7 linked regions of the Cricetulus griseus genome follow. The protein of the gene in region 4 interacts with the protein of the main gene of each other region in a pairwise test. Links are inferred from orthologs where the notes say so. Each region holds a gene or a part of one and is shown on either strand. Other genes may lie near its edges. The genes, in order: cytochrome b-245 chaperone 1, Emd, Senp2, Kash5, Upk1b, Bag5 and Rnf146.

Region 1 (4,032 bases), on a different chromosome or scaffold from region 4:
TCCTTCATCTCAGGTTACAGGCTTAGTCAACTGCGTTCCTGTACCTTCCTGGGTCGTTGGTGACATGTGTATCCCAAACTCTGCCTAAGTCCACCTAGGAGACAGGTAGATCTATATACCTTGTCATGGAGGGTAAGACACACGATTTTTCCCTGTAGCAAAGTGGCAGGCAAATAAATACTAAAGAGCTTCTTTCCGAGAGTACTTTATAACAGGAAGAAATTTAAGGTACAGGACATGGACTATAGTCATCTCTCACACAAGGCAAGGCAAAGGCCACCCCAAAGGTTACACACACTAGGAATGCTCTCTGCTTTTTGTTTATTTCCAAGTACAAGGAAGCTGATGGGAAAAACATACTTTACCTCCACTATAATAGGCAGCAGCCAGGCCAGTGGATAATATTCCTGTGGAGAGAGGGATTATCTTGTTAACTGTCAAGGAGAGTTCCCCTTCTTCTTGTGCTGCAGCCCCCCAAAGCAGGCCTGTCTCACAGCAGGATAGCTTGTTCAGGGGCAGCAGGTAGAAGCTACCTAGTGCAGGGTTGGGGACACAGCCAAGAAGTTTGTTTAAAAATAGGGAGGGGGGGACTGGAAAGATAGCTTATTGTTTAAGAATATATACTACTGCAGAGGAACCCAGTTCAGTTCTCAGCACTGTTGTGGGCCATTTTATCACATAGTGTGAACATGTGTCACTGTGACTAGTTTAATAAAGAGCTGAATGGCCAACAGCTATGCAGGAGAGAATAGGCAGTACTTCTGAGCAGCGAAAGGAACTTGGGATGAATTTAGGCACTCAGAGACCTCAACAAGATTTGGACCAAGTCAGACAAACACAATGGAAGAGATGTAGAAAAAAACACATGCCATGGGGGCTGGAGAAGCAAGCAGTTGGAGCACTGGCTGCTCTTCCAAAGGACCCAGGTTCAATTCCCAGCACCCACATGGCAATTCATAGCTGTCTGTAACTCCAGTTCCAGGGGAATCTGACACCTTTATATCAATGCACATAAAATAAACTTAAATAATTATTTATAGAAAAAAAGCCACATGGCAGAACACAGATTAATAGATGCGGGTTAGTTTAAGTTATAGGCGGTAGTTGGGGACAAGCCTAAGCTAAAAGCCAAACTTTCATAATAAATTTCCATTTCGTTATTTGTGGACTGACAGCCCAAAGAAAGTCCAACATTTGGCACCCGCAGGCCACTCACAACCTCGTGTGACTTCAGCGCCAGAGATGTAACACTATTTTGGACTCCACAGCACCTATATGCACCTGCACAGACCCATACATAGATACACTTACATAATTAAAAAATTAAATAAAAAAAAAACAGGTTATGCTATCCATGGCATTCACCAGACTCGTCTGCAATCAAATGAAAAATGCAATGACCCAGATGTCAGTATTGCCTACCTGTGATGAGGAGCAAAGACAAGACTACACAGAGATAATACAACACAGAGCACAGTATGCAGAATGTCATGAGGACCTTCACGAATCATAAAGGACTATAGAGAACCTGCTGCTGAAGTCACAGCCAGTACCTCACCTCAGACTCTGAACAGCCCAGCCAACACAAGTGCAGCTGTTCATGAGATGCAAGACACTTCTGGTAGGCAGTGATGGGGGACAGAGTCCAGGAGGACGGAGACAGGGAGGAAGAGAAATGTGAACCCATGATCACCTGTCACATGGAAGAAAACCTAGTGACCTCAAGAAAGCAGACAGGCTGGGAGTGCATGTCTGTTAAGGGGACCCTGCATGCCCTCTGAAAGGGAAGGCACACCAAAGTGAATGAAGCATGCTTTACCAAGGTCTTGTATTGACAAGAACCTCCAATAGAATACGAAGAAACTGTTCCCATCACTTAAGATTTGACTTGGGAAAAACATAAGTCTTACCGACCAGCAGGGACCAAGACCGGATGCCTGGAGCCCTCGTCAGATGGAGGCGGGTGCTGGTTCGTGTCTCCACTTGCATGTACATCTCTGGAACCTGGGCTTCACCTCACAGCAGACCCGGCTGAGAAAGACACACAGCTGAAGCCTGCAACCACTGCACACAGGCAGCACCTCATCAGTCTAAACAGGAGGCCAGGGGAAGGTCCACAGCGGCCTTTATCCACGAGACTGTCTCAACTCACAATTATACATGGGCACAGGGACAACACAGCCCAGAAAGTGAGGCCTGGTCTTACTTCCAAGCCACAGTCATATCTGGGAACCCTTTCCTTAACCGAATCCTCGTCTTGAAGTTGCTCTGTTAGCCTCCAGCAACTCTCAGGCTTCCGGCACCTTAGCCGAATCGTCCAGAAACTCCTCTTCCCATCAAGAAAGGGAACTGAAAGTGCCCTGTGTCTGAGTTTCTGCCGTCATACTAACTATGGCCCAAATGCATCCGAATTAATGGGACACTGTGGCAAGACCCCTGGAGACAACGCCCAAAGCCCCAGTGTTGAGTGGCTCCTCGGATTCCCAGGTGCAATCAAGCATCGTGCCCTGCATGCTCTGGAATCCCCGTTAGGCACACAACTTGCCTCCCTCTGACCTCAGTTACCAACAAGCTCCACGAGCGGCCCGTTATGCTCGCTCCGCACAGTGCACACGCCCGATCCAGGTCCGCGAACAGTGACCCGCACAGGGCACGAACATGAGAACGGGAAGCACAGCGAGACGGAACTAGAAAAGCTTTGGGACACACTTGCGCGGGCACCAACCGACTCGCACCGAATTAGCGGGAGGGAACTAGGGGACAGCCTCCCGAACTTCCGGACTTCAGTCCCCAGGACTTCCGGGCTAAAGCCAGGTGGGGACTCCCGAGGGGCGGAGCCTGAGTGACGACGCCTTCCGGAGTTGTGCGTCCGTTTCCGCACTCGCGGGGCGGGGCCTGGCGCTGGAGGGCGGGCTCGGTCGATGGGGCCGGAGTCTAAGCTGGGGCCCGCCGAGCGCGGCGTCAGCGGCTTAGGAGCCTTAGCGATGGGTCGCCATCTATTTGTTTAGTTATTTATTCATTTTGTTGTGGTCCGAGGGTGTGAATCAACCCAGGTAGACACAAGAGGTTACCTCAAGGCAAGATTTAACACGGGCAGCACAAAAGGAGCCGGGCGGTGGTGGCGCACGCTTTCATTCCCAGCCGGCAGATCTGAGTTCGAGGCCAGCTTGGGTTACAGAGCGAGTTCCAGGACAGCCTCCAATGCTAGGCAGAGAAGCTCTGTCTCAAAAAATAAGAAAAAAAAAAAAAAAAAGAAGAAGAAGAAGGGGGAAAGGAGAGGGGGCTGATGGATCATTCGGGCCACAGAAAAGACTCTGGGGCTGAACGGCCACCCCAAATGCCAGTTGAAGCAAGTGTTTAAGCACAAAAATCACAAACATTGGTTGCCAAGTTACAGTTACAATTTTCACCAATAAGGATTTAGAGATTAGGGGCTTCCTTGAGTATTCATCACTGTCAACAAATACAATGCAAGCTTTTAGTCCAAGCAATCAAATTTATTTGTTCCTTCTGTTGTTAGTAATAGCCATGTTTCTAGAGAGCTAGAGACGCATAATGACTAGTTCTGTAGTTTACGGAGGTAAGTCATATATTGGAAGGTTCTCAGCTTGAACTTTGTCTCACCCTACAGGTAAAATGGAGTCTGAAGTCAAATCTGGCCAAGGTGCTTTTGCCTATTCCCTTTGTCGGTCTGTCTTCTGTCTGCCTGCCTACCATCTATCTATTTGAGGTGCTTTTACCTGCTCCCTTCAATTTATCTATGTTTGTTTGTTTATTGACTTATGGAGACAGGGTTTCTCTGTGTAGCTCTGGCTGTCCTGAAACTCCCTCTGTAGACCAGGCTGGCCTCGAACTCCAAGAGATCTGCCTCTCGAGTGCTGTGACTAAAAGCGTACACCACCACCCCTGGTTGGTTCTGGAGTTTTAAGGAAATGATAAAGAGGTTACACTAGGACAGCGTGGGAAACATTGACAACCTGAATTTTACAATTTTACGAACAATGTAAAATAAATGAAATTTGAAGAGGTTTT
Region 2 (2,536 bases), on a different chromosome or scaffold from region 4:
ATGTAATATGTATCCAGGACAGAAGACCTGGAAACTGAGCAACAATAAACAGGCAAAGAATTAGGATGAGTATCCTGCAGTTTTTCTATCTACCCCCATGCTATCAAATAACTATCAATCCCAGGAGCTGAGCAAAAAATCCACTGGCAAGATGCCTCATTTCTTTTCTAACCTTGTAACTTCACATATTGGCATGAGCCTCTCCTGGCTAAAGTGCCTGCATGTATCATCATAATGCAGTTTTGCCTGAATTTCCCATGGGCACATTTGGTTACATGGTAGTTATTTTGTAAGTAGTTGTTAAGTGCTTCAGGGAGTGAGCCCAGAAATAAAACCCACAACGAAAACATAGACTTATCTTTGGGTAACACTGGATCCCTTCCCCAAGAACAAACTAAAATGTAGAACCAAAGGTTAAAGTCAGTGATTTTTGAGACCCAAGACTAAGCACTTGTGCCACAGTAGCCCAACTCCCACCCCAGTAGGAAGAGCCAACAAAGTAAAAATAAATGTGTTTTTTATTGTGTCCACAAAAACAAAGCCAGGGTGGCCTTTGGTTAATACACCCTAAAAAGGGGTGACAACAAACAGGCATGCATGACAACTACCATCACCTCCACCAAGTTTTCCTCTAAAGAAGTGGGGTCTTATCTCCTGGAGCCCTAAGGGTCAGAAGCAATAGGACTAGGAGGCTCCAGAGGAAGGTACATATGGGCCCAATGGGTTGTGGAAGGCCAGCATTTGCTGCCTTCTTGGCAGGAGGAGGTGGGAGATAAGCACTGCCCTAGGCTAGGCCCTGAACCCCTTAAAGAACACATAAAAAGCCCTCACCCACCCTACCCCCAGCAAACACTGATAAGGCAATCAGCCAAAACTCTTGTTAAGAGCTGCTCAGAAACCAATACTCTCAGGGATCCATCCAGAAAGGGTTGCCTTCTTCAGCTTGTATGGAGTAGTAAACAAAGAGCAGAAAGGCAGCAAAGACCAGGAAGAGCAATAGCTGGCCCCAGAGTGGGACCTGACGATCCTGGCCCAGAGCAGCAATAGGAGCCTGCTTTTCTGGCCTGATGGCACGTCGGGTAAGCCATGAAGAGGGAGAAGATGAAGAAGAGGACACAGAAGAGGTGGAGGATGTAGGATAATAGGACAAGCCCAGGGAGCTCCTGGAGACGTTGGAAATGGGACGGTAGTGTGCAATGCTCTGGTAGACACTGTCTCGGCCATAGATGGGGCGTTCCCTGTGGCAAAAGAAGGAAACAAGTGGGCAGGAGAGCCTGAGGCCCAAACCTGTCCCTGTCCTTATGTGTGTTCACTACTCACCTATCCTTGCCCTCCTCTTCTGAAGAAGAGAAAATATCATCACGAACCTGCAAGACAACAGGGGTTAGGAATTGGGGGAAGGGTGGTTTCCCAAAAATGTCTCTGACCAGCCTACTCTAATCATACCCTAGAAGCCAGACCATTGCCCCCTCCCTCCAGAACGATTCTGATCTGTGGCCTTTTTACCTGTGGAGCCTTGCTACTCAGTGACTATACCTGTCAACTCTGTCTCAGCATCCTTTTATTCCCCCTTATTCTCAGAAGGCTTAAAACTAGATCCCAGACTAGAGTGCAAAGAATGCTACATGTGCTCTGATCAAAACAGTTTGTAGACTGGATACTTGATCGGCTGGATACTTGAGTTCAGTGTCCAGCACTCACCACCAGGGAGTTTACAACCACCTGTAGCTCCAGCTACAGAATAAAATTTGTATTAAGAAAAGAGAGATGATGGGACAAATGAACTTTTAAAAATGTCATGCAACTTTATCTTGGGTTTCTGGTTTTTATTTTTTTTTAAGACTTTTTAAAAATGCACCAACACTCATGCATACTATCCCAGACACATAAACATAATTAATGTTTTGTTTCTTTTTGAGATAGGGTTTGTCTTTGTAGCTCTGGGTGTCCTAGAACTCACTCTGTAGACCAGGCTGGCGTCAAGTTAATAGAAATCTGACTACATCTGACTCTCCAGTGATAGGATTAAAGGTATGTGCCATCACTGCCTGGCAAAGTAATTAAATCTTCAGTTTTGGAGGCCCCAAAGTAGAACTCTGACCCAAACAGCTGTATGCCGACCCTAACCCTATTTGACCGCCTAAGGACTACTCTCTGTACCTAATATCTCCTTGGACTTATCCAGACCCAGTTAGGATCCTCTCAGACTACATCCAGATATGCTGCCAGTCAACTCACCTGGTGATGGAAGGTGTGGGTATCTGCAAGTGAGGTCCCTGGCTGGCGAAAGCTCTTGGACATACCCACAGACTCGGGCTCCCCATATGTCCTGGTGGTCAAATAACTCTCCTCATAGTAGTCGTCATTATATTCTTGGGAAGGAAAAACAGTGGTAAAGGAGAAAGTGACCTCATGGCCCCAAATTCTGTGTGTGTGCTGTGACAGTTTCTCCACTCTAGAGCCATTGAGAACTGGGGTGAAGTCTTAGGTTTCCCTGTGCCCAAATTCCCTGATAAAGGACCCACCCCACACCTGT
Region 3 (3,500 bases), on a different chromosome or scaffold from region 4:
TAGGTTGTCACAATGGTCCTGAATGTCCAAGGTCAGCTAACTATCCCACAGCACTCTTCTGAGCACTAGGATCAAAAGAGTATGGCATCAGACTAAGGGAGCCAAAGTTCTTTTTTAAAGTATTGCATTGCTGAGTGTGTGTGTGTGTGTGGGGGGGGGGGTGTCCATGTGCGTGGACATGGAGGTCAGAGGACAACTTGCAGAAACTAGCTCTCTACAGTGTGGGTCCTGGATATTGAACTAAGTTCATCAGGCTTAGCAGCAAGCCTGAGCTTACTTTAGTCTTTACTCATTGAGCCATTTTGCTGCCTCCTAATATTCTTTATAAATATTTTTTAAAATACTTAAATTTTTAACCTTTAATTTCTTGACCTTCATATCAAAGGTAATAAATGCATGATCATTTCTGGAAATAAGTCAACCTATATGTTAATTCCCCCCAAATCTATGAGAATATTTTTTAAATTCAATTTATAAACATCACAGTGTGTTGGGCTGGAGGTGTAACTCAGTAGTAGACTACTGCTTAATATATACAAGATCCATACAGGCAGGCCTTTAATCCCAGAACTCAGGAGACAGAAGCAGGGAGATCTCTGAGAGTTTGAGATCAGCCTAGTCTACATAGAGAGTTCTAGGACACACAGAGCTATGAAAAGAGACCCTGTCTCAAAAAACAAACAAACAAAAGATGTATGAGGTCCTGGGTTCCATCTCCACACAAAAATCAAAAAGGGAAAGGAAAAAGACCAGTAGCCAAGCCCCATCCCCACTGACCTCTCCTGAAGGGGCCACATTCCGTGTTCCATTACAAGCAGAAGACACCATGGGTTTTGTGGTCAGCTGGAATGGGACTCCAAATAAACTTGCAGCATTGTAGAGACTGTTTTTCACTTGGTGAATGAAGCAATCTAAAAAATAACAAATTATAAACAGAGCATTAACTTGCAGAAAAAATTAATTGTTTTGAAAAGAACCTCTACTAGTTTTTAATAAAGTCTTACTTTTGAACACTGAAATAAAACTGTATCTATAATATAAAAGTATTTGGGAGCCATCGAAGTGGCTTGGTGAGTCACAGTGCTTGCTATGCAAGCCTGCCTGGCAACCTAAGATTGATTTCCAGAACCCACATAAAGACAGAACTGACTCCACAAAGTTGTCCTCTGACCGCCACAGGTATGTTACAGCATAACTCCATTCACACATGTGCATCATACATACATGAATAAACTGAATAAGTGGAATTCTAACATGTGAATTTTGTTTTAATCAACTACCACAGCTGCTATAAAAACATTAAACTATTACTTTAATAAGCCACAAACTGATTCACCAAGAAATTATCTCAAGTAGCAGCTTTTAAGCAGTAAGCTTTGTAGAATGCATAAAGAAACCACAGAGATGAAAGATAAATGAACAAGGAACATACATACTGCTAGGTATGGAAAACACACAGAGAGCACTGACCTTTACTCAGTTTGCCATTCCTTCCCAGGCAGGTGACAATTTGATTATCTTAAACAAGCATCTACAAAGCCCCTCATAAATCTTGACTGAGTGCAGTATAAAACACACAGCTCTTAAGCATCTGTGACAAAAAGCTATCCCACTACTGAACCAGATGCATTGGACAATTTCTAGTTCACTTCTTCCTGGTACCAAAGATTACAAAACAGAGAAGTAAACAAAAGGGGAGTGTGTTTCAGTGCTCCTCCACTTCCTTCTTTCATAGTACTACCTCCTCACTTCCTACACATCTGTGTTTCTCAGTTTCCTTTGTACTTACTAATTAATTATAAAGAATTATTTTATGCCTTAAGAAAAAAAATAGCCTAAAATGGTAGCTTTAAAGCAACAGAGTTCCAATATAAATAAAATACGAAATAAATATTCTCTAAAAAGGGGAATGGCTCCAATAATCGAGAAAATGTGTTGGTGAGGTGGAGCAGAATCCAAACTGGAAGTAATTTACTTGTTTGCTGACTACGATGGTGCATACTTGTAATTCAAACATTCAGGACACTGAAGCATCCTGTCCTAGTTAGGGTTACTATTACTGTGATGAAACACCATGACCAAAAGGGTTTATTTGGCTTACACTCTATCGTTACTGTTCATCTTCAAAGAAGTCAGGGCAGGAACTCACACAGGACAAGGATCTGGAGGCAGGAGTTGTGATGCATAGGCCATTGAGTGTGCTGCTACTGTCTTGCTCCACATGGCTTGCTCAACCTGCTTTCTTATAGAACCCAGGACAACCAATCCAGTGGGACCACAATGGGCTGGGCTCTCCCATATCAGTCACTAATTAACAAAATGTTCTACAGGCTTGCTTGCAGCCAGATCTTATAGTGACATTTTCTCAACTGAGGCTCCTTCTTCTCCAATGATTCCAGCTTCAGTCAGTTGACATAAAAATAGCAAGCATACATCCCAACTTCATGAGGTGAATCTCAAGCTGGAGACCAGCCTTAAGCAACATAGGAACTTAAGGATAGCCTGTGCTACATATGGAGACCCTGTCTCAAAAAGGAGAAGTTCTAACTTTTTAAATTGTTGTTTTCCATTTCAGGAATTTGGAGACAATTTCACGTTATTCCTACAATAAGTTGAAGAATCATTTCTATTTTATTTGCCTACAAATTTTATTTAAAAAAAAAAAAGGGACGCCAGACGTTGGTGGCTCACGCCTCTAATCCCAGCACTCGGGAGGCAGAGGCAGGCGGATCTCTGTGAGTTCGAGACCAGCCTGGTCTACAAGAGCTAGTTCCAGGATAGCCTCCAAAGCCAGAGAAACCCTGTCTCGAAAAACCAAAACCAAAAAAAAAAAAAAGGGGGGGGACTATCCTAATATTGTGTTAACTTATCCGCTGAACTCTCACAAAGGCAGGTCTCACCTGTAAGAGACTCAAGACTACACAGTTCTCCTGAGACTCTGGCTTTCACTGTAAAGTCATGGGTCTGCTATGATGAGGTCCTCCTCCTTTCTTCCTTTCCTCACCTCTTCTGCTTCTCCTCCCCAAAGGTACCCAGAGTAACCCAATGTAAAAGCCAGAAGCCAGGTGTGGATGCCTAGCAATTTTGTTTAAATGAGTGAAAATTAAAAGTTCAGTTCTTTATTGAGGTGTGATGGCTCACATATGTACTCCAGAGATTGGGAGTCTGGAACAAAGGGTTGAGACCAATTTGGACCACTTAGCCACACACCCACACACCACCCACACCCATACACAAAATTTAAAAAATTTCAAAACCCTCAATTCTTTGAGTTAAACTAGCCACAATTGACGTAATCAACAGTCATCAGCACAGGAAGATCTGCTGGTCAGCACACTGTGTACCCAGCTCATCTCCAGTTCAGATTACTTTCTGCTGTTTGCAGTAAGGAAATCAAACTCTGTATTCAACAGAAATGAAGGAGTGGGGTGATCCTTAGGCCAGATGTAGATGATTACCATATACAACCAACCCAGGAACCTTCTCTAATACCACCAAAG
Region 4 (3,500 bases):
AGCTGGGGTTCAGTCCCCTAAGACAGGAGGCTGCTAAATTGGGAGCTGGCTGAGTTGGGAAAGCTTGGAGAAGAGTTGCTTCCAGACCCTGCAGGCCACACTGACCTGAGAAGGCCTATCTGGGCTGTTTGTCCAGGGCTCAGAGCTGGGTGGGCTCCTGCCACACAAGGCAGGGGCTAGGAAGGCATGCTAAGGGTAGGTCTGTCCCCTCCCTGTCCCTCACCTCTGAGAGGACTGCTTCACGCTGGCAAATGAGTTGTTCGCACTCACAGAGCTGCCGCTGCCGAGGAAGGAGCCTATTTATCTCTTCACCCAGCCTCCCAGCAGCCCCCACATCTCCCTTCAGCCTCCTACTGCCCCTACCAGGTCCTGGCCAGGCCTCCCCTCAGCCTCCAGTGACAGCTATGGCTATCAGCTGCTCTGAAGGGGACTCTAGCTGAGCTGCCTGGGCAGCCCTAAGCCATGTGGACTCTGGCGCAGGACCCTGGTTTCAGCAGCTGCAGTGCTGACTTGGGTGCAGGAGGTGAACGGTTGGTCCTCAGGCCTGGACAAATAAATGCTGCACCTTCAAAGCATCTTTCTCTGTGGCCAGCTCCTCACTCCGCCTCTTCACTCCGTCTCGTTCTGCTAGCAGCTTCCCATTCTGGAGGGAGGATCAGCCTTGCTCACCAGTTGGCGGTGCTAATGCTGTATGCCCTGTATGCACCTCAGTCTTTTCTCCATTCTCCCACCACCCTGCTGGGCCCTCAGCTGGGATTTCTCCACAGCTGGTTTCCCCACTGATTCATGGAGTCCCTGTGAGATAAATAACCCAGTAACTTCCAAGCATTTTGCATGTGAGATTCCATTTCTTTCCCCATTTTTAAAGATACAGGCAACTCAGGCACAGAGGGATGGAGTAATATGATCTGGATCACAAAGCTCTTATTCTAACACAGGCCAGTGAATGTTAATGACCACAGATATTTAGAGCAGAGTCAACTGTAGCTGGCATGTACCAGATGTAAATGTTAAAGATAAATGTTTATAGATACTTAAACTCATGTTCCCTAACATACAAAACTAAAAGTAAGTATAATGAGCCCAGAACACACACACACACACACACACACACACACACACACACACACACACACAGACACACACACACAGACACACACACACACAGACACACACACACACACACACACACACACACACACACACACACACACACACACACACACTCACTCACTCAATATGTAGCTTGGGCTGGCTTTGAGCCTGTGGTCCTCCTGCTTCAGCAGGTATGGGCCATTACACTTAATCCTCATGCCCAGTTGCAATAAATATATTCTGGTTTCTTCTTTTGCCTTCCTGTCTAATTCAGTCATTTTAAATCAGATCTCCCATTTCCCCTGGAACAACACCAGTGTTACCTACTCATGACAACTTATTTCCTTTAGCAAAACCATAACTCAAAATTAGCAACAAAATAGCATGAGCATGGAGACTATGGCTGGCACACAGCAGACTTTACACAAGGCTGGATGCCCCCAGATGTGGACTCCTGTGCTGATATGCACCCACACGTGCTGACATGTGCCACATGTGCCCTTTTCCCTGCCTGCCAGCAGGCAGGCAGGGAGACCCAGGGCTCGCACTGTCCACATTACATTGGCTCTGTAACAGAACGGTGTTGTGGCTGTATAGCCATTAATAGTATCCTTCCTCTCAGCTCTACAAAGGAAACTGAATAGATGCTAAAATACTTGGCAAGGCCATCCCATCTGTGTGATGCCCAGCCCTGCCTCTTTCCCCCCCCCCCCTCAGGGTTTCCTCTGTGTAACTGTAGAGCCTGTTCTAGAACTCACTCTGTAGACCAGGCTGGCCTTGAATTCACAGAGATCACCTGCCTCTACCTCCCCAGTGCTGGGATTAAAGGCATGCGCCACCACCACCTAGCCCAGTGCCACTTCTAATACTCAACCTTTTCTGGGGGGCCAGATGAAGCCCTGGGGTGACAAAAGACATTTGAGAAGCAGTGGTGCTCTAGCCACAAGATGCACAGGAGAGACAAGGGAGAAGCAGAGAGTGCTTAGCCTAAGGCTCACTGAGAAGGCCCAAGCTGGGTGGTGGGACAGCCACCGGGCTTGATGAAGAGGTAGTGCCTGGGCTGAGCCTTCCAAGGGGAGGCAATGAGGTCAGGAATAGTCACCCACAACAGCTGCCCAGTGGGACCTAAGAATAAAATGGCCCAAATCTGGGTGTGAGGAAATACACCTATCATCTCAACACCAGGGAAGCTGAGGTAGGAGGACTGCTTTGAGTACCAGGCCAGCCTGGGCTACATACCAAGACCTTGTCTCAAAAATCAAAAACAGGCCAGGTGGTGATAGCATACACTTTTAAGTGCCAGCACTGGAGAGGCAGAGGCAGGCAGATGGATCTCTGTGAATTCAAGGCCACTCTAGTCTACAGAGAGAGTTCAGGACAGGTTCCAAACTACACAGAGAAACCCTGTCTCAAAAAACAAACCAACCAGAATATGACAATTCAAAGTCCAAGTTTCCGGATACCTGAAGTCTGGCACACCTCATCCTTCTCCAGAGCCCTAGGAGACAGAGGCTACCTCTTCTGGTCTCCAGCCTTGTTCCTGCTCCAGGTCATCAGTGCCTCTCACTCAGCAGTCTGGGCTGCTGCTGGGTGAAGGGCAGAGGAAGGACAGCTGGGAGTGCTGTGTCAACACCTGTCCACCTGGTGGGACCCAAAAGCACCCTGCAGCCTTCTGCAGAAGCACAGGCTGTGGGTTTTTGGGATTCAGCCAGCAGCCAGACCTTTGGAGGCTGAGTGTCCCATTACTTTACCAGGCCCGGCTGTAACCTGAGATCTCAATCTCTAGATCTCAGTGGGTAGCTGCAGAAGGCCAGCAAGGAGCTGAGAATAGCTCTAGCTATGGAGTTAGCATGCCCAGGAAGTTCCTCTGAGGGCATAGATTGGGCCTGGGGCAGGAGGCAGGGGTGCTGGTGGCTGGTTCACAGGGCTGACTCTTGCTGTCTTGCATTGCATGCCCTGGGGCAGTGACAAGGAAACCTGCCTGCTAAAGAAGCAGCTATCCCAACCCCACCTTGCTGACTATCTTAGCTCCAGGCTGAAGGTAAGACATCCTCCCAGGCTCTCTTCCAGCTGTGGTTAAGGGATAGAGAGACAGGAGTGTGTGTGTGTGTGGGGGGGGGGGCTGGTGCCTCCCCATCTGCCTTGAGTCATCTGCGACTATGAGACCACAAACAGGAAAAACAAAACAAAACAAAAAACTGGTAAGAGACTGGGTATGCAGGAACTTGCCTACAGTCCCAGATCTTACCTGGCTAAAGCAGAAGGACTAGGAGTTCAAATCCAGTCCATACTACACCATCTGACCCTGTTACAAAAAACCCAGGGCTGGGGATATCGCTCAGTGTTGCTTGCCTAACACATGCCAGAACCTGGGTTCCATTTTCAGCATACCATCACTTAAAAAA
Region 5 (3,500 bases), on a different chromosome or scaffold from region 4:
TGTGAAAATGGAAACATTAGGCAGAGGTTTCTCTTCTGAGATTTGCCATGGAACAGAACAGTAGTGGAGCAGAATAATGGGTGAACACTGGACAAAAGTTCTTGAAGATGTTCTTGTAGGCTGACATTAGAGAGAACTGGTGAGTCAGAGCCAAGTAGGCTGAAGAAAGGCAGAGGAACTCAGATGGAAGCCAAGGACTTGGGTTGGGGCAATCTGTTTGTCACTAGTGAAGAGGCTTCGCTGCAGATAGTGGATGGGCAGAGGTGAAATGGACTCCATCTGATTGCTTCTATATTCTTAAGGCATTGCTTAAGAGGTGCAGCTATTGCTGAGGCTGAGGGGTGGGAGGAATTTGGCAGAGGTGGAAAAAGGAAAATCTATGCAATAGTGACAAAGCAGATTTAAAAAAATATATACCAGGAAACAGAGAATGCCCATTTGAGCTTTAGAGTCATAAATTTAAATTAGCACAACTGGGGGACTTTCCTCAGTAATATCTAGCCCTTAGGGGAGGAGTGGACAAAAACTGTATTCACTTCTGGAGGGACTGGGTAGGAAAGACTGGTGAAAATAGACACACAATGGAGTAAAGGAGAGGACCAAAGAGAGTGATGGCAAGAAGAGAGCATGAAAGGGTGATAGGAAAGGAAAACATGGACAATTAACTAGAGAATTAAACTAGACAAATAAATTGATCATTTATTCTAATGGAATAAAATGATGAAATGAGGATATTGGGGGCAAATGAAAGAAATTATAGAAGGTTGTCAGAAAGTGGGTGGCATAGTTATTGGTGACGGCATGCTGGCTGTGGCCGTGGAAGACGGTGTCTTGAGATGAGGGGAGGAGATCTGTGGGGTGCAGAAGAGAGAACAGGTGTTGTCCAAGTGTCTATGTGGTTTTTGAAGCCTTGTCCAAGGCAGGATGCTGAGAACATGAATGACGAGGACATAGTTGGTGATACTGAAATCCCCAGTGAAATCTGGGCAGTGACTGGAAGGTGTTTGGTAAAAAGCCACAATAAAGAGATTACAGGCTGATGGCACAAACTTCAAGTGTTTAAACAAGAAAGGATTCAAGGGGAGAGAGAATAGAGAAGCCATGCAGCCTAGCCAATTTCTAGGTCTTAGGGCGCATGAGCATAAGAGGACAGATAAGGGAAACTAGGAGGCAGCCAGGTTTCTAGTGAAGCAGGGAGAGTTGAAAGGAGTAGAAAGGTTGGTATATGTGTGAGTGTGTGTACATGAGAATGTGTGTGTGTGAGAGAGAGAGAGAAAGGGGGGAGAAAGAGAGAAAGAATGTGTGTGGGGGGGAGAAAGAGAGAGAGAGAGACTGTGTGTGTGAGAGTTATGTGTGTGTGTATGAGAGAGAGAGAATGTGTGTGTGTGAGAGGTGTGTGTGTGTGTGTGTGTGTGTGTGTGTGTGTGAGAGAGAGAGAGAGAGAAAGAGAGAGAGAGAGAGAGAGAGAGGGAATTGTGTGGGAGAGGTGTGTGTGTGTGTGTGTGCTGGGGCCAATGAAGAGTTGACTCATATTATACACAAAAGATAAAATGGGGCAATATTATGGAAGACTAGGGGTTCTGATGGTATTTGGAATAGGTTTGGATGTATGGAATGATGTGCACTCAAAATTGTGATTAAATCCAAACATATCTTCTGATACATAGCAGAATTCTTCATAGGAGATATACAAAGGTGAGACAGGCACATACCACTATTTGAGTTTGCTGTGGGGGAGAAAAGTCCCCTTTTCCTGTTAATGTAAGGGAGACCTAACATTGTAAGAGGCAGAACATACTATGAATCTAAAGTTTCTAACATACACTCTGTAAAGGCAGGCTAATCAGCATTATAGCTTGATATCAAGTATGAATCCAGAGGCCTCACTGAGTCAAGTGTTTCCCATTCCCCTTCCGCACCCTCGCCAGTAAACAAGAGGCATTGCTGACCCAGCCAAGAACAAGTCTCTAACTGAAGGAAGCCCTTGGAGGCACTGACCTCACTCCCACCCACATTCAGGTTCTTACTGGTTCAGATGTGCTTTGGATCACCGCAGAACCACACATCTTACCTGGAGCATGAGCCTATCCCAGGTCTTGGTAACACCATTGTTTTTCCATTCGTCATCATTGGTTGGGGGACTGTTGTTTTGATACCTCACCAGCATCTGCTTCAGGAAGAGGTTGGCTGTGAACTGCAGGGATGGGGACGACACAAGATGGAGTGTCAGCACACCTGCTCCCAAGAAAGGCAAAGTCTTCTGCAGAGCTGGTTGTCAAGGACACTGAACATCCTCATGGAGGGAAGCTAACCTCGGGCACCAAGCTCATTTGGCTGGGGCTACTTTGGGTTTCCATAGAAGAGACCACTGCATGCCAAGGATAGACAAGCATTTTAAGATGGAATAGATTAAGGAAATGGTGAGAAATGGAACAAGAAAGATTCAGGATTGTGTCTTCCACGAGGCAGAACATGCAGGAAGGCTGTAGCGTGGTCGCGTGATGAACAATGTTAGTATCACAGGTTGGGCATTGGGAACCAGGCTTGCTGGGATCAGAAGTCTTGCTGTCACCTGTCAGTTGCTTATCTTTAAATAATGTTCTTTGCTTTTAATGCCCCCGCCCCCACTTCCCACCCAAGGAACCTCCTCTCTCTTTTAAGTTAGCAATACTTCCCATTTGAGGTTTCTGAGTATTAAGTAAAACTGCACTCGTATTAATAGTGTGCATATTAGCATGACCAGCACACAGCAAGGACTTAATGCATGTCAGTTGCTACGGTGCCAGTGCTATTATCATTTTTGTTCTGTGCTTTGGGGACTATACTCACAAAGTCTCGTTGTGTCGCTGCTGTGATACAAGATGCCACTTCAAAACCATACACTATAAACATCATAATGAAGTACTGGGAAGGAAACAGACGAGAACAGAGAATTACAACTGAAACTCACCACGTGATTGCTGTGAGATTTAAGCACATTCCTCTGAATGTGCTATACAAGCCACTTATGTAGTACAAACTCTCTTGGATCAGCTGGATCTCTTGGAACGGGGCTGGTACATGAGTGTCAGCTCAGTTCTCTGCTTATCTCTAGAGACATGGCCATTCAACTTAGCACTTTCTCATCCAGCATCATGAATTTCTATTTTAACTTGGTGGAGCTAATATAAGCAATGAAGGAATGTGTGGGTGTTTCAGAGTTTTCGTGTACACACACATGCTCAGTGGCCTTAGTGCTTTATACATGACGCCTTACATTGTAAATCCCTTCTAAGTGGGAATCATTTTCTTCATGGATTGCTGGAGATGTAGAACTACAGAAGCTAGGGAAAGATGACAGAACATGTTTAGTGCCTTGTGTCTTTCCTACTCAGGCTCATCTGTAACAAGCAGGCAACCTTCAGGCATGGAGACTTACTGGTGATCTGTCACAAACCCATGTCCTTGTGATAGCAGCTCTGGTGAGGGCAGAGCAGAGCTCTCTGTGTGCTGCCTATGCT
Region 6 (4,256 bases), on a different chromosome or scaffold from region 4:
TCTCTCTCTCTCTCTCTCTCTCTCTCTCTCTCTCTCTCTCTCTCTCTCTCTCTCTCTCTCTCACACACACACACACACACACACACACACACACACACACACACACACCCCAAAGTAAATGCTTGGCTGAGTTACATTTCCCCTCCCCAAACATGTTCAGACACCTGTTTCGTTTTTCCTTCTGCCCAAGGACTAAAATTCTATTTTTCTAGAGACAGAAGTGAAGGCTTGTCTGTTTCTCGTGCCAGGGAACCGAGCCAGAGGCCAGGAGCCCGGGCAACAAACCTTAACTGGAGACTAGACAGACTTCAAAAGCTGTAGTTCTAATAAAAGTGTTTCCGAGACGCAGCATAACAGAAATGGAAATTCACACAGCAGGCACATTTTGCAATTCTTAATTATCTCCCCCACACACCTTTTTTTTCCCCGCTGCGGCCCTTTAATTATTGCTTAAGCAAACCTCGCCAGCCTGTGTCGCCGGCCTGCTGGCAAATGCAGTGCGGGCAGCCATGGGCGCTGTCTAGTGCTCTCCACCTGAAGCCTCAGCCATCACTCTCACTGGCCCGGGCCTCCCTTAAACGAAGCACCGGCTCGGGAAGAAGGGCGGCGGGTTAAACAAAAGCCGAGCGCCCGGCCGCTTTCCCGGCTCGCTGCGGACGCGCCCTGCGGCCTCTGACGCTGCGCGACTGTTTACAAACAACGCGCGGCCCGAGCCGCCGCCGCCTCCAGACCGAGCCCGGGCGCCTTCGCGCAGCGGAAGTGAGGGCGCAGCGCGCCGACAGCGCTTCACGCCGGCTCCGGGGACGCCCCGCTCCCTCCCCGGGCGTCCGCTCACCGGGCTGGACGCCGCATCCCTGCGCTCCGTGCCGCGTTCCCGGGCCAGCCGGCCGCCGCCGCCGCCGCTGGACGAGGAGCGGACGAGCGGCCGGACGAGCGCTCCGCTTCCGGGCCGCAGAGCCGCCATGGCCGGCGCGCGGCGCGATCGCGACAGCGCCGCGGTCCGCTTTACGGCAGCGTCGCGCGGGCGGCGGCGGGCGGCGCGGGCGAGGCCGACCGTGCGCTTTCCCGGAGAGCGGCGGCGGGCGCGCCCGGGGCGGGGCCCGGCCGCGTTTTTCCCCGGGCTCGGAGCTGGGCGGCCGGCCCCGCGGCGGGCGCCGCCTCGGCAACGCTGCGGAAGTGCAGGCGGAGGAGCGCGCGCGATGGCGCGAGCGGCCCAGGTGAGCGCAGCGCAGCGCGGGGGGGGCGCGGGCCTCGTTCTCCCCGCCGCCGCCGCTCCCGCGCGCCCATTGTGAGGTCAGGCGGCGGCGCGTCGGGCCCGGCCGAGACGCCCCGGAGCGGCCGCCGCGGCCAGTAGCTGCCGCCGCCTCCGCCGGCCCCTTCACCGGCCGCCCGGGTCAGACCTAGCCGGGAAGGGCGAGGGGGATGCCGCTGGGGGCCCCGCTCCGGCGCCGCTCCCCGTGACGGGCCGGTCTCCCGCCTCGCCGCCCTCCGCGGCCGCCAAGACCGCCGCCGCCCGCACCTCTCCGGGCTTGGACTGAGTTCTGTGGCCGGCCCGCCGGAAGTGAGCGGTTTGACAGAAACCTGAGAGACGGAACGAGCGAGCGAGCGAGCGTGGGAAAAGCTCTAAGCATGCTTACGGGGAGGCGAGTGACCCAGCTAATAACCGCACTTGTCACGCTTTCTGGCGGGGGCCCGGGTCGGGGCAGCAATGGGAGTCGAGGGGGGCGAGGACTTCGTGGAAAGGACAAGTCCGGTTGGGCCTGGGGCAGAACGGTGGCCCGGTGAGGAGCCCCGGAGAGCGCCCGATGACTTCCACAGGGGAGCCTCCCGCCCCGCCTGCCGCTCCCAGTCGTCCTCTAGGGCGGTGGGAGCAGAGGAAACGGGGTTGACGCGGATGGTTTGGCCTCCGTGAAAGTGTGTGCGTGTGTGTGCGTGTGTGCGTGTGTGCGTGTGTGTGTGCGCGCGGCTCACTTTGATTCCCAGGCCCAGACATCCACCCCAGACTGGACAGACTTCTCCCTGTTTTCGTTTTGCTTTTGAGTCAGGATCTCACTGAGTGGCCCGGGCGGGTCTTGAACTCCTAATTCTCTTCCCTCTGCCTCCCTGGCGCCGGGCGTGTTGGCACATTGTTTTGTGAAGTGCTTTCCCGAGAGGGAGTTAACATGTCACATCTCCTCTTTCCTCGAGTATGTCTTCCAAATCTATAAATAACGACAAAACCTTCCGTCTGTGTGTTTTGGTGCTTGCCCGGGTGCCAGAGTTCAACCCTGCCCCCCTCCCCCCAGACACACCATTTCTGTGGTGTCCTTCTACTTTGTTTTTTTTGAGGCGGGGCTTCTCATGGCCCGAAGCTCCCCAATCGGAGTAGGCTAGCTGGCCAGTGAACCACAGAGTCCACGCGTCTCTGACTCCTGGCACCGGTGGTGTAAGTGAGCACCATCTTGCCTGGCTTTTACGTTTTATGTGCACCGGTGTTTTGCCTGCATGTATGTGTGTGCATCACATGTGTGCCTGGCGCCTGTAGAGGCCAAAAGAGGGGATCAGATCACCTGGAACTGGAGTTACAGGTGACCAGGAGAGGCCATGTGGGTGCTGGGAATTGAACCCAGGTCCTCTGGAGAGCATCCAGTGCTCTTAACCACTGAGCCCTCTCTAGGGCCCTTGCCCTGGCTGTCTTTGCATGTGTTCTGGAGCTCCAACTGGAGCACTTGACTGACAGCTGTCTCCATAGCCCCAATTAATCCTTTAAAAAGTATGCCTTTTAAAAGTGAGTTTAAAGTGGGTTGATCTAACTGTCCTGCAGAGACTGTAATAAGTTACTCTTGCCGTCTTTCAGTGCTTGTGAAACTGAACACAGAAGTATGGATATGGGAAACCAACACCCTTCTATTAGTAGGCTTCAGGAGATCCAAAGAGAAGTCAAGAGTATAGAGCCTCAAGTGGTTGGCTTCAGCGGCCTGGCGGATGACAAGAATTACAAGAGACTGGAGAGGATTCTGACGAAACAACTTTTTGAAATAGACTCTGTAGACACAGAAGGAAAAGGAGACATTCAGCAAGCTAGGAAGAGGGCAGCGCAGGAGACAGAAGGCCTTCTCAAAGAGTTGGAGCAGAATGCAAACCACCCACACCGGATTGAAATCCAGAACATCTTTAAGGAGGCACAGGCCCTTGTGAAAGAAAAGATCGTGCCCTTTTACAGTGGAGGCAACTGTGTGACTGACGAATTTGAGGAAGGCATCCAGGACATCATTCTGAGGCTGACGCATGTTAAAACAGGAGGGAAGATCTCTTTGCGGAAAGCAAGGTACCACACCCTAACCAAGATCTGTGCCGTGCAAGAGATCATTGAAGACTGCATGAAGAAGCAGCCTTCCCTGCCGCTCTCTGAGGATGTGCACCCTTCAGTTGCCAAGATCAATTTGGTGATGTGTGAGGTGAACAAGGCCAGGGGCACTTTGATCGCACTTCTGATGGGCGTGGACAGTACTGAGACTTGCAGGCACCTATCGTGCGTGCTGTCAGGGTTGATGGCTGATCTAGATGCTTTAGACGTGTGTGGGCGTACGGAGATCAGAAATTACCGGAGGGAGGTGGTGGAGGACATCAACAAACTACTGAAATACCTAGATTTAGAAGAGGAAGCTGACAGTACACATGCATTTGACCTGGGGCAGAACCATTCCATTCTGAAAATAGAAAAGGTGCTCAAGAGGATGCGAGAGATAAAAAATGAACTTCTCCAGGCTCAGAGCCCTCCCGAACTGTACCTGAGCTCCAAGACAGAACTTCAGGGCTTGATCGGACAGCTAGATGAAGTCAGTGTTGAGAAGAACCCCTGCATCCGGGAAGCCAGGAGAAGAGCCGTGATTGAAGTGCAGACCCTGATCACGTACCTGGACCTCAAGGAGGCCCTGGAGAAGAGGAAGCTCTTCCCTAGTGAGGAGAACCCCCCACACAAGGCTGTGTGGGATGTCCTTGGAAACCTGTCAGAGATTCAGGGTGAAGTCCTCTCGTTTGGTGGAAACCGAACTGATAAGAACTATATCCGTCTGGAGGAGCTGCTGACCAAACAGTTGCTGACCCTGGACGCTGTTGACCCCCAGGGAGAAGAGAAGTGTAAGTCTGCTAGGAAGCAGGCTGTGAAGCTGGCCCAGAACATCCTCAGCTACCTTGATCTGAAGTCCGACGAGTGGGAGTACTGATGGACCAGGAGCTGCTCCTGCTGGTTCACACTTTATCTGCTTTTAGAGAGC
Region 7 (4,152 bases), on a different chromosome or scaffold from region 4:
ACGTATATGGAAGATGCTGTGAACTGATTGGCTGACTAAACTTTGTAATAGTGGTATAGGAAAATGCTGCAAACAAGAGCCAAATATTTGTTCCGCCCCCACATAGTCGCCATTTACTCTTAATCCCTGTATCATCTGAATTAACATCTTTCTGACTGGAATACAACGTTGAAACCTAGCTGGCCAGTAGCTTCCTTTTTTATTCCCCGTACCCAGTGTGGTACTGGGGATTGGATCCAGATGCTCAAGCATGATAGGCAAACACCCTACCACTAGATACCTAGTTCGTTTTCAATTATAAAACCAACGTTATAGCACCGAAACCTAAACAATATGCTCTGTCACAGTCGCCCAGCTACCCGATGGACTACCCCTACCAAAATATTTGATAATACATTGACGTATAATCTTCCCTTTTTGTGGCTATACAAAGTTCATGTAATAATATTTCCTAGAACAACAGACTGAGTAGCCCGAATCCATGCTCGGGATTCAGTTACTCATGGCTGTCTCCACATGAATTCTTCCTCCTTTCCCTTAAGAGCAGAGGCTGTGCTTTGTAGCTATCATATAAGCACCCGAAACATTTACAGTCCTGGCATTGAGACAGTTAATAAACCTCAAAATGCAACATTGTTGCAAGCACAATGCAACAGTTACAGGAGGCGGAAATACTTTCAAAGGTGACGAGGCCCCGCTAATCCACCTAGTTTAACTACAACTTGAGAAAACTCACTCAGCTCTGTAAAAGACCATGTGTGGGTAAAAACGAACGACTAGATTTTGATGTTTAAAACTGTATGCTTGCCATCAAATGAATCGGCAAAACTTACTCTAGATTCTTAAGTCGATTGATTTCCTCTTCTAGCTTCCTAGGCTGTTAGGGTACAAAAGACTTGTTGAGACCCCCAACACGTCCCCTCCCCCATTAAATTTCCTAGCCATTTGTGAGTGAATAAACTGGAGCATTCCAGGGGACCATCCAGTCCACGCCGAGTCTTTGCAGATGTCTTCTTGATAAGGAACAAGCAGTTAAGGACACTTCAATTGGAAACTTAGGGCTTGGCCCAAGGGCTTCTTGGGGTCAGAAGGCTGGATTTCAGGAGAGCTCCTCTTCCTGGTCCCGGATGTCTAGCTCCCTCGCTCAGTGCTCTCTGGTGGCACCCCACAGTGTCAGAGCCAGGTGGTGATAAGGTGCACAAAGAGCATGGGAGGGATCGCGGCCAGAGAGCCGCCCCGCCGCGGGGAAGGGCAAGAGAGGTCTGCAGGCAGAGCGTGCACCGCCCGCCCGCCAGCCTCCGGCGCCGCGCGCGCGCTCGCCGTGGGGGCGTGGCTTCCGTCGGCGCGGCCCCGCCCCCTCGAGCGCCGGGCGTCACGTGGCGGCCGCGCGCGTCCCCGTCCGCTGCGGGCTCCGAAGCGGAGGAGAAGAGGCTGCGAGGTGGCTGCGGCGGCGGCCGAGAGGTGGGCACCGGCGGGACCGGTGGGGAGCGCGTGTGTCCGAGGGCTGCGGGGCCTCGGCGGGTGGCGCTGCGACCGCGCTGGCTGCGGGGCGGCGCCTGGAGTGGCGGCGAGCGGCGGCGGGTCGGGGCCGGTAGGACAGGGACGCCCTTGGCCAGCGCGGCCCGGACGGGCGCGCGGAGGGAGGCGAGCTGGCGCAGCCCGGAGCGTGACGGGCGCGGCCCCGGCCATTACTACGCAGGCCGGGCTGCGGGCAGCGCCGCGGGGCTCGGCCGGGCTGCGGGCAGCCACGGGCTGCATTCTGTCTGCCGTCTGCGGTGCTGCTGCTGCTGCTGCTGCTGTGCTGTGCTGTGCTGTGCTGTGCTGCTAGCCTGCCCAGCGCCCGGAGCCGTCCCTCCTCCTCGCGCTGGCGGAAGCCGCCGAGTGTTCTTGTTTTGATGGCTCCCAAAACCTGAAACCACCCCGAGGTGTCGGAATACGCGTCGGGGCCTCCCTACCCGGGTGCATCCGAAGATCCCCGTTTCGTTTGTCGCTTTGTTCTGGTTGCTGGGTGTGGAGTTCTCTCCCTTGCCCTCCACCCCATCTAGGAGTGCACGGGATCCTCATTGTTCTGGCTGTCTTATTTTCCTGAGCGGTGTTGTTTTTATTATTATTTTTTTCTTCTTCTTTTTTTTTTTTTTTTCTTTTAAGAGAGAAAGGCATGGTTACGTTGTTTTTGAGGATATGGAAATGGAATCGTCCTCTACTTAGGTAAGAGATTCCGGACTGTGAGTTAGCACACGCATTCTGACAGCTATATTTTGTCTTTTCTCCGGGTGCTGTTTAAGCACTTCTCAAGTTTTCAACATTTTGGGGTTTTTGTTTTGTTTTTGTTGTTTGTTTGTTTTTTAACAGTACCGAAATACTTGACAAGAACTTAGGGAAGAAGAAAGTCAAAGGAGATAGAAAAGGCTTTGTTCATTGATTGACATTTCAGGTGCTAGGGTGTGTTCACCCCCTCCCGCCGTGTGTTTGTGTGTGTGTGTGTGTGTGTGTGTGTGTGTCTGCCTTCCTTGTTTTGTAAACGGGATGTGCACCTGGAACTTGGCTATTGAAAGTTGTATATTGTCATCGAATTTGAGCATGTAGAACATTTCAGTAAATGACCTATATTAGACTTTTTAAAGGACATGGCATATTGAAAACAAATGAAGGAAATGACCCATACAAACTAGCAGCAAAGCTCCTGGGTGCTGTGAAAACACATGAAAATAGGTCACTTAAATCTCATTTTTAAAGAGAAAACTCGAGAGTGACTGCCACACTAAAGGAGTTTGGGATGTGTTTGGGTCTTGGATATGATACAGTGGAACACTTGGGTTTATGTCTCAAATGGGCCTATGTAATGTGGGCAGAATGAAAACCCTTGTGCTTAAATGTTTGAAGATTTCTGTTTTGCTGGTGAAGAACTGAGTAGAGTTGTAATCATGGGAAAACATCCCAAATAGCTGGTCATTAGATAAGAGGAATGCAAAAAAAAAAAAAAAAAATTCTTTTGGGAGACTCGTCAAGTGATAAGAGTCACTTTTGCATTGTTTTCTTTTTTGTTTTTAAAGGATTCAAGATAATTCCTTGACCTGAAAAAACATAATAGGAAGAACTTTTTCATATTCATCTGTTTACGACACATTTTCTGTTAGCCATATATGTGCTTGACGGATTTAACCAGTTGTTACTGATTCTTACAAATATTTTCCTGCAAGAATTAGAGGTAGAAGGTACTGAGTCTTTTTTCTGTCCTCTTGCCCAGTTGGGTTCTTGATAACAGAGGGAATTTGTGGAACTGTTGGCCGGATTAGAAACAGTCTTTCTGAGGATAGACACTATGTCTACACTGGTGTACAGCCTCCTTTGCTAATTTGTACTCTCTCATTCACCTTAGTTAATTAATACAAAGCCTGTTGTTAAAGGCCTCTTAATTAAAACATTTAAAATTGTAGAATCACAGAGGAGAGGGTGAAGCAACAAATACGTAGTGATGACTTGACCAAGGTCTCACATCTTAATTAATAAGAGGACTTTGTTATTTACATAATGGTTGCTGGCCATGAAACCTGATTGATGAGATTAAAGTGTCTGTTGACATTCATATTTCCTGAGTTATTGAAGTAAATGCAAAACCCACTTCGAAGGGAAGAAATTTGAAGATTTACACCTAAATATGAAGACTGTGAAGGCAGTCGGTAGTCATAGGATGATATTGTTTACATTTAACTGAAATTGAGTTTTGACAGAACACTTGTTTCCAATTCGACTTAGCCCTTTTTTTGAAAGCTGATGTGATGAAGTACAAAAGTTACATGCCTGTGAATTTGGGAATCTTTTTTAAGAAATTTCAAGATGTGTGTGTTAAATCCCACCTGACCTCTGCTCTCTTTTCCTGTGTTTATAATAGATACACATGTAGGTAAACTTGTATACAGAGGGAGGTTTGAAGTAGTACCCCATCATTGACACCTTTTTTATACAATATATCCTGTTTTGTGTATTTTGAATAAAGAGTAAACTGTTTCTTTAATTCTTTAAATAGGGAAAACAGAAAGTGTTCAAGCATATATAATTTGATATTTATGTTTTTAATTATGTTTTATATATTCTTGTTTTTCTTTTATTTTTTAAAGGTCAATATTTTATTCAAGTCGGTTATCTAGGGAC

What was found.
Region 1: the proteins of Kash5 (region 4) and cytochrome b-245 chaperone 1 interact in binary tests that used the Homo sapiens proteins (3 or more experiments, as listed by UniProt). The two-hybrid records come from large-scale screens. The link is inferred for Cricetulus griseus from reciprocal best matches to the Homo sapiens genes KASH5 and CYBC1.
Region 2: the proteins of Kash5 (region 4) and Emd interact in binary tests that used the Homo sapiens proteins (3 or more experiments, as listed by UniProt). The two-hybrid records come from large-scale screens. The link is inferred for Cricetulus griseus from reciprocal best matches to the Homo sapiens genes KASH5 and EMD.
Region 3: the proteins of Kash5 (region 4) and Senp2 interact in binary tests that used the Homo sapiens proteins (3 or more experiments, as listed by UniProt). The two-hybrid records come from large-scale screens. The link is inferred for Cricetulus griseus from reciprocal best matches to the Homo sapiens genes KASH5 and SENP2.
Region 5: the proteins of Kash5 (region 4) and Upk1b interact in binary tests that used the Homo sapiens proteins (3 or more experiments, as listed by UniProt). The two-hybrid records come from large-scale screens. The link is inferred for Cricetulus griseus from reciprocal best matches to the Homo sapiens genes KASH5 and UPK1B.
Region 6: the proteins of Kash5 (region 4) and Bag5 interact in binary tests that used the Homo sapiens proteins (3 or more experiments, as listed by UniProt). The two-hybrid records come from large-scale screens. The link is inferred for Cricetulus griseus from reciprocal best matches to the Homo sapiens genes KASH5 and BAG5.
Region 7: the proteins of Kash5 (region 4) and Rnf146 interact in binary tests that used the Homo sapiens proteins (3 or more experiments, as listed by UniProt). The two-hybrid records come from large-scale screens. The link is inferred for Cricetulus griseus from reciprocal best matches to the Homo sapiens genes KASH5 and RNF146.

What each region holds. Positions count from the first base shown.
Region 1 is NC_048600.1:133,705,601-133,709,632, forward strand, and holds the start of cytochrome b-245 chaperone 1, read right to left. Parts: upstream 2,801-4,032; 5' UTR 2,557-2,800; exon of another isoform or gene 2,546-2,556; intron 2,032-2,545; 5' UTR 1,996-2,031; coding exon 1,911-1,995; intron 408-1,910; coding exon 366-407; intron 1-365. UniProt on the Homo sapiens protein: Functions as a chaperone necessary for a stable expression of the CYBA and CYBB subunits of the cytochrome b-245 heterodimer. Controls the phagocyte respiratory burst and is essential for innate immunity.
Region 2 is NC_048604.1:1,456,020-1,458,555, forward strand, and holds the end of Emd (emerin), read right to left. Parts: intron 2,373-2,536; coding exon 2,239-2,372; intron 1,368-2,238; coding exon 1,321-1,367; intron 1,239-1,320; coding exon 908-1,238; 3' UTR 501-907; downstream 1-500. UniProt on the Homo sapiens protein: Stabilizes and promotes the formation of a nuclear actin cortical network. Stimulates actin polymerization in vitro by binding and stabilizing the pointed end of growing filaments. Inhibits beta-catenin activity by preventing its accumulation in the nucleus.
Region 3 is NC_048597.1:66,907,723-66,911,222, forward strand, and holds part of Senp2 (sentrin-specific protease 2), read right to left. Parts: intron 912-3,500; coding exon 778-911; intron 1-777. UniProt on the Homo sapiens protein: Protease that catalyzes two essential functions in the SUMO pathway.
Region 4 is NC_048599.1:154,082,637-154,086,136, forward strand, and holds part of Kash5 (protein KASH5), read right to left. Parts: intron 644-3,500; coding exon 566-643; intron 281-565; coding exon 224-280; intron 1-223. UniProt on the Homo sapiens protein: As a component of the LINC (LInker of Nucleoskeleton and Cytoskeleton) complex, involved in the connection between the nuclear lamina and the cytoskeleton.
Region 5 is NC_048597.1:51,378,160-51,381,659, reverse strand, and holds part of Upk1b (uroplakin-1b), read right to left. Parts: intron 2,905-3,500; coding exon 2,830-2,904; intron 2,195-2,829; coding exon 2,072-2,194; intron 1-2,071. UniProt on the Homo sapiens protein: Component of the asymmetric unit membrane (AUM); a highly specialized biomembrane elaborated by terminally differentiated urothelial cells.
Region 6 is NC_048598.1:182,322,582-182,326,837, forward strand, and holds the start of Bag5 (BAG family molecular chaperone regulator 5), read left to right. Parts: upstream 1-1,456; 5' UTR 1,457-1,629; coding exon 1,630-1,643; intron 1,644-2,836; coding exon 2,837-4,205; 3' UTR 4,206-4,256. Other genes in the region: cytochrome c oxidase assembly factor 8, read right to left, coding at 836-964. UniProt on the Homo sapiens protein: Co-chaperone for HSP/HSP70 proteins. It functions as a nucleotide-exchange factor promoting the release of ADP from HSP70, thereby activating HSP70-mediated protein refolding.
Region 7 is NC_048595.1:247,900,041-247,904,192, reverse strand, and holds the start of Rnf146 (E3 ubiquitin-protein ligase RNF146), read left to right. Parts: upstream 1-1,352; 5' UTR 1,353-1,461; intron 1,462-2,148; exon of another isoform or gene 2,149-2,208; intron 2,209-4,152. UniProt on the Homo sapiens protein: E3 ubiquitin-protein ligase that specifically binds poly-ADP-ribosylated (PARsylated) proteins and mediates their ubiquitination and subsequent degradation. May regulate many important biological processes, such as cell survival and DNA damage response.